Elephas maximus indicus: one gene and its partner. The protein of the gene in region 1 interacts with the protein of each later gene in a biochemical or structural test. Links are inferred from orthologs where the notes say so. Each region holds a gene or a part of one and is shown on either strand. Other genes may lie near its edges.

Region 1 (8,220 bases):
AAACCAAAGACACAAGGGAAAGATTAATCAAAAGGACTAACAGACCACAAGTACCACAGCCTCCATGAGACTGAGTCCAGCACGACTAGGTGATGGCCAGCTACCACAACTGACTGCTGTGACAGGGATCACAACAGAGGGTCCTGGACAGAGCTGGAGAAAAATGTAGAACAAAATTCAAACTCACCAAAAAAAAGACTAGATTTACTGGTCTGACAGAGACTGGAGATACCCCAAGAGTATGGCCCCCAAGACACCCTTTTAACTCAGTACTGAAGTCATTCCTAAAGTTCACCCTTTAGCCAAAGATTAGACAATCCCATGAAACAAACAATAATACACATAGCTCAACCATGTATATTAGACTAAATGGGTACACCAACCTAGGGGCAAGGAAGAGAACGCAAGAGAGGTCAGGAAAGCTGGACAATGGAAAAGGGGAACCCAAGGTTGAGAAGGGGAGAATGTTGACACTTTGTGGGGTTGGCAACCAATGTCACAAAACAATATGTATATTAATTGTTTAATGAGAAATTAATTTGCTCTGTAAACCTTCATATAAAGCACATACAAAGACCAGGCTTACTGGTCTGACAACAAAAAAATTATCAAAATGGATGAATAAATGCACAGAACCAAATGTCTCAGAAGGTGGTTGAACAATCTTCTCTTTAGACCTGTGGACAAAAAACAAAGACAGTCCAAAGATGACCATTTCTCTTAAGGTTAATGATTGATCAAAAGCTAACACAGCCCAAATTCAATAAAGCTCAGGGGGCCCTCTGACCCGGAGTAGCACAGACTCTGATAACTTCCTATGCACAAAGTCATATTTCAATGGAAGGACATCCAAAGTCATAATGCCATTGCCTGTTTTGGCACATGCTCTCACAAGTTCCAGAATAGAAGACTGGAGCATTATATTGTGGGGAACAATTAAAGACTCCATGGCAAGGATGGCCTTTGGAAAATTAGGAAATTTTAAATGTATCAAAACCTCGTACCAGGCACTTTGCTAAGTGCTTTGCAAACACTAATTTAGTGACCTCATGAAGGAGACGCTATTATCATCCCCATCGGTTTGGTTCACAGAAGAAAGTAAAGCACACACAGGTTAATTCTTTCAGGCCTAGCAGTATATACAGCAACCATGAACTTTTTCAGCCCCTGGGATTTACTGGGAAGCTGCTGTATCATTGACAGTGTGTGCTGCTGCAAGGCAGGGACCTTTATGACTGTTTGAAACCAAACAAATGGGTGTGTGCTGCAAATTACTGTTTTTACAGGGTATTGTAGAAGGTGCCTGAATTTTTGATAGGAAAAATAGAAATTTTGAAAGTTTTTATTTGTTACATATATGTACCCATAGGTCTGGGTGGGGACTCTGGGGTATAACTAGTGGGACTTCATACGTACCACTGAACACTTAGGGTAGACTTGTGGGAGGGGACAAGAAAAAAAATCCATACTACCTACAAAAATTCAGATACAGTCAATGATTCAGAATGCTTCCATTAATAAAAACACATGGTATCAACAAAAAAATCCAAGCAGAAAATAATTGGGTCACCAAAGGGTTAAACAACTTGCCCAACCTCAGAGAGCTAGTTCATGTTAGAGCTGACATTCAAACCAGGCAGCCTGCTTCCACAGTCCATGTACTTTCCCATGTGGACTCTGGCATTTTTCTCTGGAACATTTTCATACTTTCCTTTCCGAGGGCCCTTATAATAATAAAGACAGATTTTTCAGTCGAAAAATGTTTGTTTAAACTGTTGCCAATTTCAGAATTGGTGAGGGTGATACTAGCTGCAATAACAGTGGCAGCACAGTAGAAGATACTGTCTTGATAACATAAAGCCCAATTGGCAATAGTGGCAATGATTGGTTGAGGTGGGAGACAGGCTCCCCTCCACATCTCAACTCAGTCATTGAGGGATTCAGGCTGAGGGAGACTCTGCCATTTCCAACATGTGGCCTGCTTCCCTGAAAGCAAGCAGTGCCAGGGAGATGAGGGGAAAGTTAACCCTCAAGCCCCAGCTTCTGAGACAGTTGCTTGAGGGCGCATCATAACCAATCCCCATTCTCACAAAAATCTTCATAGTGCATCCAAACGAAACCCAACTCGCTGCCATGGAGTCGATTCTGACAAACAATGACCCTATAGGACAGAGCAGAAGTGCTCCCACAGGGCTTCCAAGGCTGTTAATCTTCACAGAAGCAGACCTGCCACATTTTCCTCTCTCGGGGAGGTTGGTGGGCTCGAACTGCAGACCTTTTGGTTAGCAGCCAAGCACTTTAACCACTGTGTTACTTGGGCTCCTCATGGAGCACAAACCCATATAAATACTTTCATCCTCCCTGAAAGAATGGCTGTTTAAGTAAGCTTTAATGTGCCTCAGAATCACCTGATGGGCTTGTTAAAACAGACTGATGGGTCCCACCCCCCGAGTTCCTGACACAGTAGTTCTAGTGTAAGGCCTAACAATTTGCATTTCTAACAAGTTACTACATGATGATGAAGTTGCTGGTCCAGACCACATTTTGAGAACCACCACTCTTATCTATTGCCCAAGATTAGGGGCTTCAGGGACAGATAAAGACCCTCTCTGCCCATTCCTTTAGTAATGCCTTAGTGTTACAGTTAACCGCTCTGCTATGTTGGAAGTAAGAGTCCAGACTGGCATGGCGACATACTTCTGAACATCAGCCATTGAAAATGCTATAGAGCACAGTTCTCTGACATAGTTGGGGTCACCATGAGTCAGAATAAACTCGAGGACAACTGGGTGTTTTTATTTGTTTTTTTTGTAAAGCTAAAAGGCATTTTGTTTTCCTTTTCTTCATTAAAGCCATTGAGCCGTTGTTGTCGAGTCATTTCTGAATCATAGTGACTCTACAGGATAGAGTAGAACTGCCCCATAGAGTTTCTAAGGAGCACCTGCTGGATTCGAACTGCTGACCTTTTGGTTAGCAGCCATCACACTTAACCACCTTGTCACCAGGGTTTCCTCTTCTTCATTAGCAGCATGTTATTAGTGAATCTCCTCTGTGAGGCCTGCACTCAGCCCCATACGCACCAGGAACGGGGGCTCCTGCCCTGCTGGTGACCTTCATGCTGAGTGAGCAGGCAGCATGTAGCCAGAAGCAGTGTGCAGTGTCCAGCCACTCTGCTTGTTCTCCAGCCTACTTCCTGGCTGTGCGGCCCTAGGCTAGCCACACAGTCTCTGAGCCTCAATTTCCCCATCTACATAACACGGGACAATAATACCCACATACTTAAACTATGGCGAGCTTACTGCTGCTAACCAAAAGGTTGGCAGTTTGAATCTACCAGCCACTCCTTGGAAACCTTATGGAGCAGTTCTGGTCTGTCTCATAGGGTCACTATGAGTCAATGGCAGCTAGTTTGGTTTTCTGGAGTCTAACCTTGGAAACTCTATGGGGCAGTTCTACTCTGTCCCATAGGGTCGCTATGAGTCGGAATCAACTCAATGGCACTGGGTTGGGTATAGGACGAAGGAGCTCTTAACCCCTGCGCCACCAGAGCTCAGCCACTAACCCAAAAATAGGCAGTTTGAACCCATCAGCCACTCTGCAGGATAAAGATGACAGTCTGTTTCTTAAAGATTACAGCCTTGGAAATCCTATGGTACAGTTCTACTCTGCCTATAGGTTGTGTGATTTGGAATTGACTCCACAGCAGTGAGTTCGGACTATAGGATGCCTGAGAAGAGGAAATGAGGATAGTGCAAGTAGGAGAGGAGTCCTCTGTCAAGTGTAAAGTACTTGCCACATATTAATTATCATGACAGCTTCATGACAGGTTTGCACTGGAACAATTAGCAGTGGCTTCTGTTTTTCCTCCAGCTTTAGTAATATTTGTTTTGCTTTTTAGTAATTTTTGTTTTTAAGGCTTTGGTCACCCTCTCCCCAACAATGGTCTTTGAGGCCCAATGCTACTGGTCCTGACTCACCTTCTGCTGGTATATTCATACACTTAGACCCAAGCTCCTCATTGCCATCTTTAGGCTCTAAAAAGAAAAATATAACCAAGGTAGATGAAATGAAACTCTCACATTACTTTATTCTAAGTCAAGATCTTCTCAGTCTCAACAATCAAGGATAAAATAAAAAGAACGAACTAAGTAGTTTATCACTGATTTTCAACCAGCTAAGATTCTCCAAAAGCCTTGTGGCTCAGTGGTTAAAGCACTGTACTGCTAACCGAAAGGACAGCAGTTCAAACCCACCAGCAACTCCCCTGGAGGAAAGACTTACAATTTGCTCCCATAAAGATTGCAGCCAAAGAAACCCTATGGGGCAGTTCTATTCTGTCCAACAGGGTCACCATGGGTCAGAAACGACTCAACAGCAGTGGGTTTGGTTTTGGTTTTGAGATAAAGCAGGCCCATTTTAATCCCGTCCGTACTGTTTGCCATTTGAACGTTAGTTTTCATCCCCAAAACTCAGGCAAGTGCAGAGAACGAAAGTGAGATGCCCTTCGAAGGGGAGCAGGGACCACTGAAAATCTTTGCAAAGAGCCCTCTGCGTTAGCTGTGCGACCCAAGTCATCCTGACATCTTTCCTCCCTTCAGAGCCCCAGGCTGTGATAGGCGGTGATTTACATTCCTGCTCTTTTGGAGGGAAAAGACCTGGAGTCACAAAGACGGGGATTCAGTCTTTATCTTACCACTTAATACGCTACCTAGGATACACCACTTCTTTAAGACTCAGTTCTTCCATCTGTATGATGGACATACCACTATCTGCCTCACAGAGCTGTTCTGGATGATAATGTATCGTTTCTAGAGCACTGCCAGGCACAAGGTGCTCCTCGTCGCCATCCAGGGAATTCCGGCTCATGGAGACAGGGGAAAGCCTCCTTCCCTCGGGTTTTACTTTCACCACTAAAGGAACACTACTGGCCTGGAGCCCCGCGCCCTGGATCGTCAGGGGTCCGCTAGCTCCCAGGGGAGCCCAGGCCAGCCCTGAAAGTCCCAAACCCCTGGGGATCCGCCCCAATCTCTTAAAGAACTCCCCATCCCACGGCTCGAGGGCCAAACAGCCGGCCCAGCCCACCTAGGCGTTTGCATCGCCCGCCCCTCTGCGTGATGAGGCGGCATCACTTCCGCCGGAAGAGGCGAGGGGCCCGCGCCGTTGGCGCGAAAGTCGGTTCCCGTCCTCGGCCACTTCCGGGTTGTCCTGCGATTCCCCCGGGCTGGGGGCGCCGCCGGCTGGGGCGGGTCTGCGCCGGGCTGGCGCCCGACCCCCGCCGTCGTCCTGCCGGCCGCGCGCCCCCCAACTCGCCAGCCGGAGGCTCCCGGGCTCCACCAAGGTGAGTGAGTCGCGGGATGAAGACCCGGTTCTTTCTCCGCCCCAACTAGGGGCCGCAGCGCCGCCGCTGGCCTGCCTTCCGGGCCCTGGCTTCCCGCCCTTCCAACCGGCCCTCCGACCGGCGGGCGGGCCTCTGCGGCCGGAGGGGACGAGCCTGTGCGGCCGGACCCACGGCCGGGCCTGTCCCTGGGGACCGGGAGGCGGGGAGAGGCGGCCCTCTGCTCTGCGGCCGGACCCACGGCCGGGCCTGTCGTTGGGGACCGGGAGGCGGGGAGAGGCGGCCCTCTGCTCTGCGGCCGGACCCACGGCCGGGCCTGTCGTTGGGGACCGGGAGGCGGGGAGAGGCGGCCCTCTGCTCTGCGGCCGGACCCACGGCCGGGCCTGTCGTTGGGGACCGGGAGGCGGGGAGAGGCGGCCCTCTGCTCTGCGGCCGGACCCACGGCCGGGCCTGTTGTTGGGGACCGGGAGGCGGGGAGAGGCGGCCCTCTGCTTTGCGGCCGAACCCACGGCCGGGCCTGTCGTTGGGGACCGGGAGGCGGGGAGAGGCGGCCCTTTGCGGGGCACGACCTCGCTAGCTGGCTTCCGTGTTTACGTTTAAAATCCGTTTGCTGAGAGGTGGACAGTCCTCGAGGGCCGTGGATTCCGCAGGCACAGAAGTGCTTATCCTTAGGCACCGGGCAATTGAACGTCCATTTGCCGATGTGACTTACCGTAAAGCCCCCGGTGCAGGGGCCCTCATGGCCTTCAATTTAGGGACATTAGCTTCCGTCTCTGATTTGTACGGTTTGATGTTGTCATCCTTGTCTTGGATTTTGCTGACATTCTAGCATTTCTTACAAACGTGCAGGACGAGTTCATGTTAAGGTCAGAATGCCTATCCTTAGACATTCTTGCCTGCACAGAAAAATGGGTGCTTTAAAATTTTAACTAAATATATGTGGTATGTTTTTTTCTCGTTAATGATCCTTTTATTTTGACAGTTCAGACATGTCCGGAAATGACAAAGAACCGTTCTTTGTGAAGTTTTTAAAGTCTCCAGACAATTCTGAATGTTTTTTCAAAGCCCTGGAGGTAAGAATAGTTGAAAATGTGGTTTGATGCTGTAAGTTCGTTTTCTTCTTTTTAGTGTTTTTTAAAATTAGGCTTTTTATGTCTTAGCCATAGATACTTTATCTTCATAATGGTTTTACATTAATATAGATATAGCATCATTACATGTTTTTGAATTGTTTTAAGTATGTATGTTATTATTGTGTATTTGGGGTCTTTGAAACACATAACATTTCTGTTGGATGTGGCTGACCTGCAGTTCTTGGAAATTAAGTTGCTTTCTTTTGTTTACTAACCACAGTGGTTCTTTGTGTGTGAATAAATTTGAGTCATTTGTGTACTGATCACACATCAGCACTTGTTTGGTTAAGTGTTAAAAGTATGTTTCATTATGTGCGGTATAATATGGAGGGTCCAGGTACAGTGGTTAAGAGTTCGGCTCCTAACCAGAAGGTTGGCAGTTCACATCTACCAGCTACTCCTTGAAAACCCTATGGGACAGTTGTGCTGTGTCCTGTAGGGTTATTATGAGTCAGAATTGACAGCAATGGGTTTGGGTTTTGTTTTGTTTTTTTTTTTAAGAGGTGGTGTAGAGCCTTGCTACTCACAGACCTCAACAACATCAGTATGGCTTGGGAGTTTGTTAGAAAATGTATATTCTCAGGGCCTGTCTTAAAGTTACCAATTAGGATCTGCATTTTAACAAGATCCCCAGTGTGATTCTTGTGCACATTAAAATTTCAGGAGTATTGTAGCAGGTTTTTCCTTAAAGTTCATTCATCAAATATTTATTGAGTGCTCATGATCTGATTGGAAACCCTGGTGGCGTAGTGGTTCAGTGCTACAGCTGCTAACCAAAGGGTCGGCAGTTCGAATCTGCCAGGCGCTCCTTGGAAACTCTGTGGGGCAGTTCTACTCTGTCCTATAGGGTCGCTATGAGTCGGAATCGACTTGACGGCACTGGGTTTTTTTTTTGGTTCATGATCTGATAGGTACTTGGGATACATGTATCAGTTACCTGAGCAGACAAAGAGCCCTGCTTTTTCAGAGCTTACGTTCTAGCAGGGGGAAATAGACTTTAATCAGTAAACTCATATGAATAAACTATATAGTGTGCTATAAGGTTCTCAGTGATATGGGAAGAGAAAAAAGCACAGCATGTTAAGGGGTTCTGGAGGATGTTGCCAGGAGGAAGGGGAGGTTACAGTTTTAAATAGAGTAAGATCAGGGTAGGCTTTGTGGAGAAGATGATATTTGAGTAAACTTGAAGGAGGTGATATTTGAGTAAACTTGAAGGAGCCACTGGGCTCTCTGGGGAAGAAGGTTCCAGGCAGATGGAATAACCAGTTCACAGGCCCATGGGAAAGTCCGTGGATTGTCTGTCCAAGGACTAGCGAGAAAGTTAGTGTAGAGTGTACAAGGAGTGTGGGAGAGTATGAAAGGATACTTCAGAAAGTAAGGGTGAAGAAATCATTTAGGGTCTTATGGGTTATTGTAAGGACTTTGGTTTTTGCCTCTAAGTGAAGTACAGAGCCAGTGGTGGGTTTTAATAAAGGAGTTTTTGATCTGACATTGCTTTAAAAGGATCACTTTAAGGACATACAAAAAAATCAAACCCATTGCTGTTGAGTCTATTCCGACTCATAGTGACCCTATAGGACAGAGTAGAACTGCCCCATAGGATTTCCAGGGAGTGGCTGGTGGATTCCAACCGCTGGCCTTTTGGTTAGCAGCCAGGGTTGTAACTGCTGTGCTGCCAGGGCTCCTTAAGGACATAGAGACTTCAAAATTCAGGACATAGACATTTCAGAATTTGTTCATGAAATATTTGAG
Region 2 (7,565 bases), on another chromosome or scaffold:
GAGGGCACCTAACAACAACAACAACAACATACATTTATTTGTGTCTTTGGTTGTCTTTCTTTCTCCACTCAGTAGAAGCCACTTGAGAGCAGGATTTTCTATTCTGTACTCTATTTCCTGTGCTTAGAAAAGTGCACGAAACACGCATGGAATGAATGAATTACTGAGTTCCAACGTCCCCATCGGGAACACTGGTGGCATAGTGGTTAAGGGCTACGGCTGCTAACCAAAAGGTCGGCAGTTCAAATCCACCAGGCATTCCTTGGAAACTCTATGGGGCAGTTTCTACTCTATCCAATAGGGTCTCTATGAGTCAGAATCGACTCGACGGCAGTGGGGTTTGTTGTTGTTAACATCCCCAGCAGTGGTGATTGCTGTGACTTCAAACCTAACTAGTTGGGCGGTGGCTTTAAGAAGTGGTGGTTGAAGGGAAGAAATTTCCCAACAGATAATTACTTTAAAAGCTTGAAATAGTAACTACTGTCACCTTCCTCCATTAGTGTCTACCACGGCTCCCCCCTCCCACTTACCTACTGATAGGTGGCCACCTCTAACGTAGGGGTGGCAAAGAGTATACAAACTTTGGGTTTTAAAGAGTCCTAAGAGAGCATCTCATGCAGCCCTTCATTTTGAGGAAACTGAGGCCCAGAGTAGGGCTGGAGCTCCCACCCACAGGCTTCCCGTCTTCCAGTGCAGACCCGACATCCACTTTGGGTCCCTATACCCGTCCCCTGCCCAGCCCTCCCCTTGCTCTCAAAGGGGCCCTGGTCGCTCCATGTCTCTCATCCCTCTCTGTGCCCTCCTCCCTCTGGACCTGCAATGCTTCATTGCCTCTGGCAAGTGCAAGCCTAGAGAGGCTCCGTAGCCTTCCAGCACGGGAGAGGACTGTTCCACATTCCCCCCTTTTGATCAGGATCCAGCTGTTGAGTCCTTGATCAAAATGTTCAGTAACGGTAGCCAGGCACCATTCACTTCTCCTGGTCTCATGGTAACAGAGGTAGTAGTTGATGGAGACAGTTAAACCTGCAGTCCATTTCCTTTTCCTATTCCTGAATCTCCTTTCTTTTCTGTTGTTTCAGGCAAATAGGGACCGATTGTGGTATTCTGGGTGGCTGCTTACAAGCTTTTAAGACCCTAGGTGCTACTCACCAAATTAGGAGGTGGAACAGAAACTCTGAAAACAATGTTAGGCCAATTGACTGGATGGACCCACAAAGCCACCACCCGAAACTTTTGAACCAAGAGAATTAATGAAGTTTTTCATTGTACCTAAGTAGTATCAACAGGAAGGAACCCTCAGCAAGGTTAAGCACTTGGCTGCTAACCGAAACGTCAGCAGTTTGAACCCACCAGCTGCTCCGTGTGAGAAAGATGTGTAGCCCGCTTCTGTAAAGATTTACACCCTTGGAAACCCTATGGGGCAGTTCCACTCTGTCCTACAGGATTGTTAAGTCAGAACCAAGTCTATGGCAGTGGATAGCATCAACAGGCACAGCTCCCCTCCCCCGTTTTGTTTTGGCTGCTGTTGTAGTTATAAATTATATAAAATGCTTTATTTGCCATTTTGCCCCCCCCCCTTCTTTTCCTGTTGTGCAGCTTAATGGTAATAGCTACATTAGTTTGGTGAGACTAGCCAATGGCAGCTCCTCTCCAGTGCTGTGGACAGATGAGGGGCACAGGGAACCTCAGTGTGTCAGGGTTGGAAGGGTCTCCGAGGGCATCTCACCCCGCATCAAACACATCATAAACCTGATGCTGTGGATTCCGACTCACAGTGACCCTCCACGACAGAGTAGAACTGCCCCATAGGGTTTCCGAGGCTGCAGTCTTTACAGAAGCAGACTGCCACATCCTTCTCCCTGGAGAGGCTGTGGGTCTGAACTGCTGACCTTTTGGTTAGTAGCCCAGTGCTTAACCGTTGTGCCAGCAGCGCTCCGTCATCACCTTGACTAGACGAGGGAACAGCTCCAGAGACGGGGAAGGACTTGCACAAAGTCACACAGCAAATCAGCGCTGAAGCCCAGACAGAGACCCAGCCTCCTGGTGCCTAGCTCCATGTCCTTGAGAGCTTTCCAGTGATTCCTGACTTTGGGGGGAGGGTGAATGAAGACTCATTAAAGAGTCCTACAGAGAAGGTAATCAATGCCACTAGATTGTAAATGGAGAAATTGTTGGTGTGTTCAACAACAAAAATTAATTATTTAAAAAAACAGCCCTAGAGAGCTTGTGTTTCTCTCTCCCTTGGGCCTTGATGCAAAACCCCAAGGCCACAGGGCCCTACAGACCCACAGGGGTCAGGGAAATTAACCTGACCATGGGAATATCCACAGCTGTCCCCTCTTTGGCCTTCCAGACAGGAGCACTGGGATGCTCTCCTACTCCAGGTAATAGGTCTTCAGTGGTAACAGGGTGGAGGTGGAGAAGCCCTGAGGCTGTGCCGATTTACCTTAGGGGTGGGGGGAGGGGGTGGTAAGAAAGAGAATAGCTGGTGCTGGGTTTTGTTTTGTTGCTAGAGAGTGGAGATGGGAAGAGAAGAATTAGGCAGGTCAGGTTGGCCTGCTGCTTTTACCCTAGCACCATGCTAAGGGCAACTCACAGGCAGCGCCATTTTATCTGGATGGCATATTCACTAACACCTATTTCCTGACCATCCACTGAGGCCCTGTGTGAGAGACAGGGCAACAGCAATGAACAAAACCGACAAGGTCCCTGCCCTTGTGGAGCTCATGTACTAGTGAGGAAGACAGACGTTAAATAAGTAAACACATGTACAAGACTTGTGATAACTGCTATGACCAAAACACACGTGCAAAGATCCCGAGGGGAAAAGGATGTGGCCCTTTCAGAGAACCAACAGGGCCTGTGGGGCAAGGCAGGGTGACTGAGAGAAAGGCAGGAGATAGGTGGAGAGATGCTGGGCCGGCTCCTACAGGCTGGGTAAGGATTTGGGATCTTACGCTAAGTATAGTAGTTGGCAACCACTGCAGGATCTAAACAGGGAGTGGCATGATTCCATGGACATTTTAGAAAGGTCACTTTAACTGCTGTATGGAGGGTGGATGGGGGCGGGGGACAGTGTGGAGGCAGAAGACCACTCAGCTGTTAACAGCCATCCAGGGAGAGTGGATGGTGGCCCAAACCAGGACGGTGGCAGCAGGGACAGAACCGGGGCAGGGGAGGGGGGCAAATTTGCCATCTGATTGGGAGCTAGGACTGTCAAGACTTGCTGCAGGATTGGCGCATCTGGGAAGAGGGTGGTGTCCACAGGGACTCCGTTTACTGGCCTGTATGCCCAGGTGGAGGTAGTGTCATTGACACTGATCCCCGGGAAGGAGAAAGGGAATTACAATCTCCTGCCCCGTTGCTCTAGGGAGGGGGTGAGGGCTGGTGAGGCAGGGGAGCTGAGGGCAAGGAGAGCGGGTGCAGAAGTGCAGCGCCAGGAGACAAAAGAGCCGCGTCCCTACAGACAGGGCCAAGGGGGGCAAGCACTGGCTGACCCTAAAGGGAAGCAGAAGACCCTTCGAACGGCCAAACTTCGGTGCTGCCGGGAGCTAGAGGTCAGGGCTCCCACCCTGGCCTGCCTTCCACTCCATACACGTGGGACTGAGGTGCAGGGCAAGGGGAGGACCTCCGGCTGATGAACGCCTCCTTTCGCACAATGCTGGGTTTTAAAAAAATAGTCTCAAAACCACGACTCTACCCTCGTCAACCTTTTCCTGTGTTTCCCAGCAGCGGCCTCATCGTCTGGTGGCGCCCCTTCCCTCTCCCCGGTGCCAATCCCCACGCGCTTCGCTCTTGCTCTTCTACCCCTTTGTCAGGAGAATCTTTTCTCTTCCTGAATCAATGAGGTGCCACCCCTTGAAACCAGAATGAGCAGCCACCGCCCACCCCTGGCTCCTGCAGCGCGTCGCGTTAACATCTTTTGAGAGGTGGTGGTTGCTGCGTGTGTCCGAGTCCTCAGCCCATACTGGGTGCGGACGGTCTGCTTTCCACCCAGTATCCCCAGACACGCCCGAAAGTCTGTACTAAATAAGGGCCCCGGCGGGCTCGTCCCCGGGCTCTGGCCTGCGAGCCCGGGGCTCGCTCCACTGCGCCATGCACCTCCCGCCCTGGAGCAGTGTCCCCGCGCTCGTGCGCCCCGCCAAGTGGCCTAGCACCCAACGGCACGGAGGGGCCGGGAGGGCTACAAGGAGCGAGCACCGCAAGCGCCGCCGCGCTCCGGCCCACGTGATAGGGGCCTGCGCCTGAGAACGGCTGCGTCACGTGACGGAGGGGCCGGGAGCGTTTCTCACGTGACGGCGGCGCGCGCTCGCAGGCCAATGAGGCAGCGGGGGCGGGGCCGGCGGGGCGGCGGCTGGAAGGGCGCCCAGGCTTCCGTGGAGGCGGGGGGGCCCCGAGCCGGGCCGGTTGCGGGGGCTCCGCGGGTGGGTTTGCAGGATCAGCCCGGTGCGGTACTGGGGCAGCATGAAGTGTCTGGTGACAGGCGGCAACGTAAAGGGTGAGTCTGGGCGGCGGGGACACGTAGGACAGGCCAAGACACCTACCTAACCCTTCTCTGCTCTCCTGCAGTGCTTGGCAAGGCGGTCCACTCCCTGTCCCGCATCGGAGACGAGCTCTACCTGGAGCCCCTGGAGGACGGGGTGAGGGGCTGGGGCGTGGGGAGGATCCCGCCTCCCCGGGCACGGTGGCCGCGGGTGGGCTTGTCAGCTCTTTCAGTTTCGGCCCCATTGCTGGAGCTCGTCTTGGGCCCTGTCAACCTCCCAGCCTGGTGTGTGAGCGGAGAGCAGCTGCCCTCCCTGGAGTGGCCGGTGACGGGTTGGGGGCGACTTAGCCTTAGAGATAAGCAGGGAGAAAGGCAGAGTGTGGGGACAGCGCTGAAGGTGGGAGCAGGGTCGAGAAAGGGTCAGGGAAGGCTTCCCAAGGAAGGACCCATTGAGACTGTCCTTGAAGGAGAGGGAAGATCTAACAGGTGATGGTGGAGGTGGTAGGTTCCTGGGTGGTGCAAATGGTTTGCGCTTGAGGAGCCCTGGTGGTGCAATGCGTAAGAGCTGGGCTGCTAACTGAAAGGTTGGAAGTTCCAATCCACCAGCAGCTCCTTGGAAACCCTATATGGGGCAGTTCTGCTCTGTGAGTCAGAATCAACTCGATGGCACATAACAACATCACAACAACAATTAATCTAAAGGTTGGCAGTTCAGACCCACCCAGTGGTACCAAGGAAGAAAGGCCTGGCAATCTCCCTCTGTAAAGGTTACAGCCAAGAAAACACTGTAACATATGGGGTTGCCATGAGTTGGCATTGACTCCACAGCAGTAGGTTTGGTTGGTTTGGCGGCGGGGGTGGTGGTGGTGGAGGACATCAGGGCAGTTCTGTAAGCAGAGGCAGGCCATGGGGCCAGCCTGTCACTGCCCCTGACCTTGTCCCCCGTCCCCCTCACCCTGCTTCACCTGGCCCAGCTCTCCCTCCGGACGGTGAACTCTTCCCGCTCTGCCTATGCCTGCTTCCTCTTCGCCCCGCTCTTCTTCCAGCAGTACCAGGCAGCCACCCAAGCCCAGGAACCCGTGCGCTGTAAGATCCTGATGAAGGTGAGGCCCCCTCTTGGTAGGAACCCCCACCTGCAGGGCCTCCACTCTGGGCACTCAGTAGCTGCTAACGGGGTAGAGAAAGGGGCTCAGTAAAGACCTTCTCGGAGAGTAGTGGGGGCATATGGAACAGCAGCAGACTGATGGGGAATCCAAGTGAGCCTGCAGGGTGGGGCCACTCCAGACAGGGCGAACAGCCAGAACCAAGGCCTGGACGCGTGTGAACATACGCACATTGTGGCGGTCCCTGTCCTGGCTGATGGGCTGGGCTGGGGCTCACAAGCTGGAGGCATAGCGCTGGCTTACGTTTCCCCTTAGTCGTTCCTGTCAGTCTTTCGCTCGCTGGCATTGCTGGAGAAGACAGTGGAGAAGTGCTACATCTCCCTGAATGGCAGGAGCAGCCGCCTAGTGGTCCAGCTGCACTGCAAGTATGGTGAGTGGGCAGTGCCGACTCGGGGGCCCTGGGGTGTGGCATGGGGGGTTGAGAAGCCCCCCTGAGACCCTGTCTGCCCACACAGGGGTGAGGAAGATTCACAACCTGTCCTTCCAGGACTGCGAGTCCCTACAGGCCGTCTTCGACCCAGCTTCATGCCCCCATGTGCTCCGTGCCCCGGCCAAGTGAGCACACCCCCTCCCCCTCACCTCGAGCACAGTCCCCCATCTGGATTCTTTGAGAGGCACCTTCTCCATTTCCGTAAAGGGTTTCTGTGGATCCCAGCCCTGTGTGCTCTCCAGCCCTTGTCTGACTCTTCGAAGGTAGGGGCTGAGCAAAGGGGGTGCATGGGTGTCCCTTCCTCCATTTCCTTACTATTTCTACACCCCTGTGTTTTCCACACCTCAGGCCTGACTTGGCTCTCTGGGAGCCTCAGACCTAGCCTGATGTCTCTTCTAGCAGTCACTTTCTCTAGCCTGAGCAGCTGAAGGGCCATCCCTAACCTTGGTGGCTCAGGGTTTCAGCTCCCTGCAGGGCCCAGTCGTACTTTGGGGGTCTTCCCCCTTTCAGCGTGGGCACTGACTATCGCCTGCCCTGGCGCTGGCTCGTGGAGTCCCCAGGCCCAGGCAGAAGGCCAGACGGGGAGGTTGTGGTCCAGGAGAGTGGAGTATTCTGGGCACTGCAGGGTGAGGGAGGTGGGGATGCCAGGGAAGGCAGGGGTCCCTGACAAGTACCACCTCAGAGAGGAGTGGCCCCTGGGCACTGCTTGCATCCAAGTGGCCGAGTTCCCATTCATTCTCTTGGTAGCCTTAGGACATGGTTGTGTGAGGTTCCCTTTGGGTCTGAGAGTCTGTTTCCCTGAGTTCTGTCGAGAGAGCTCCGCTCAGGGCTCCTTTGGATAGAGAAAGGGGGAAGGCCGTCCCTTTTGGTCTGAGTTTTGTGACAATTTAAATCACTCCTTTTAATGAACATTTGTCTTATGGACAGTCTGAAACACGTAAAAAAGTAGAACATAGTATGCTGACTCCTTGTACCATCACCCCCAGCTTGTGTCCCGTTGTTCTGAGGCGGACTCCAGGTGTTATTTCATTTATCACACGTATTGGTCAAAGACAAGAAGTTAGGGAGGGGCTCTTTCTGAAGGCCGGTTGGTTGGGACGGTATGGGTGTGGCTTCCCACCTCCGGACCCCATTCTTCCTTCCCCGCGGGAGAGCCCTCTCCCATCCTGTATGCTGGTGCTGCCCGCCCTGTGTGGGCCTTTGTCTGTCCCGCCGCCCCCCACCCCCCCGACCCCGTCCTGCTTTCAGTGGACTTGGGCTGTGGCAGGGAAGGACCAGGCCTGCTCATCCTGCCCTCTCCTTCCCAGGGTGCTGGCCTGGCCCAGGTGTAGTTCTCCTTAGATGCCAGTGTGTGTGTGTAGCCCCCCGTCCTCTAGTCCTCTGAGAGCAAGGCTGCCGGGCAGGGCTGGCCTGGCCTGGGGATAACACTGCCTGTCCTCACAGGGTCCTGGGGGAGGCTGTTCTGCCATTCCCCCCTGCGCTGGCTGAA

Evidence for each region. The genes of interacting proteins can lie anywhere in the genome.
Region 2: the proteins of TOPBP1 (region 1) and RAD9A form a complex in vitro, tested with the Homo sapiens proteins (4 studies listed by BioGRID). The link is inferred for Elephas maximus indicus from reciprocal best matches to the Homo sapiens genes TOPBP1 and RAD9A.

The regions. Positions count from the first base shown.
Region 1 is NC_064844.1:46,132,746-46,140,965, forward strand, and holds the start of TOPBP1 (DNA topoisomerase 2-binding protein 1), read left to right. Parts: upstream 1-5,155; 5' UTR 5,156-5,338; intron 5,339-5,401; exon of another isoform or gene 5,402-6,201; intron 6,202-6,317; exon of another isoform or gene 6,318-6,322; 5' UTR 6,323-6,324; coding exon 6,325-6,408; intron 6,409-8,220. UniProt on the Homo sapiens protein: Scaffold protein that acts as a key protein-protein adapter in DNA replication and DNA repair. Composed of multiple BRCT domains, which specifically recognize and bind phosphorylated proteins, bringing proteins together into functional combinations.
Region 2 is NC_064825.1:130,422,686-130,430,250, forward strand, and holds the start of RAD9A (cell cycle checkpoint control protein RAD9A), read left to right. Parts: upstream 1-4,362; 5' UTR 4,363-4,464; coding exon 4,465-4,498; intron 4,499-4,569; coding exon 4,570-4,640; intron 4,641-4,646; exon of another isoform or gene 4,647-4,768; intron 4,769-5,457; coding exon 5,458-5,586; intron 5,587-5,901; coding exon 5,902-6,016; intron 6,017-6,101; coding exon 6,102-6,201; intron 6,202-7,519; coding exon 7,520-7,565. UniProt on the Homo sapiens protein: Component of the 9-1-1 cell-cycle checkpoint response complex that plays a major role in DNA repair. The 9-1-1 complex is recruited to DNA lesion upon damage by the RAD17-replication factor C (RFC) clamp loader complex.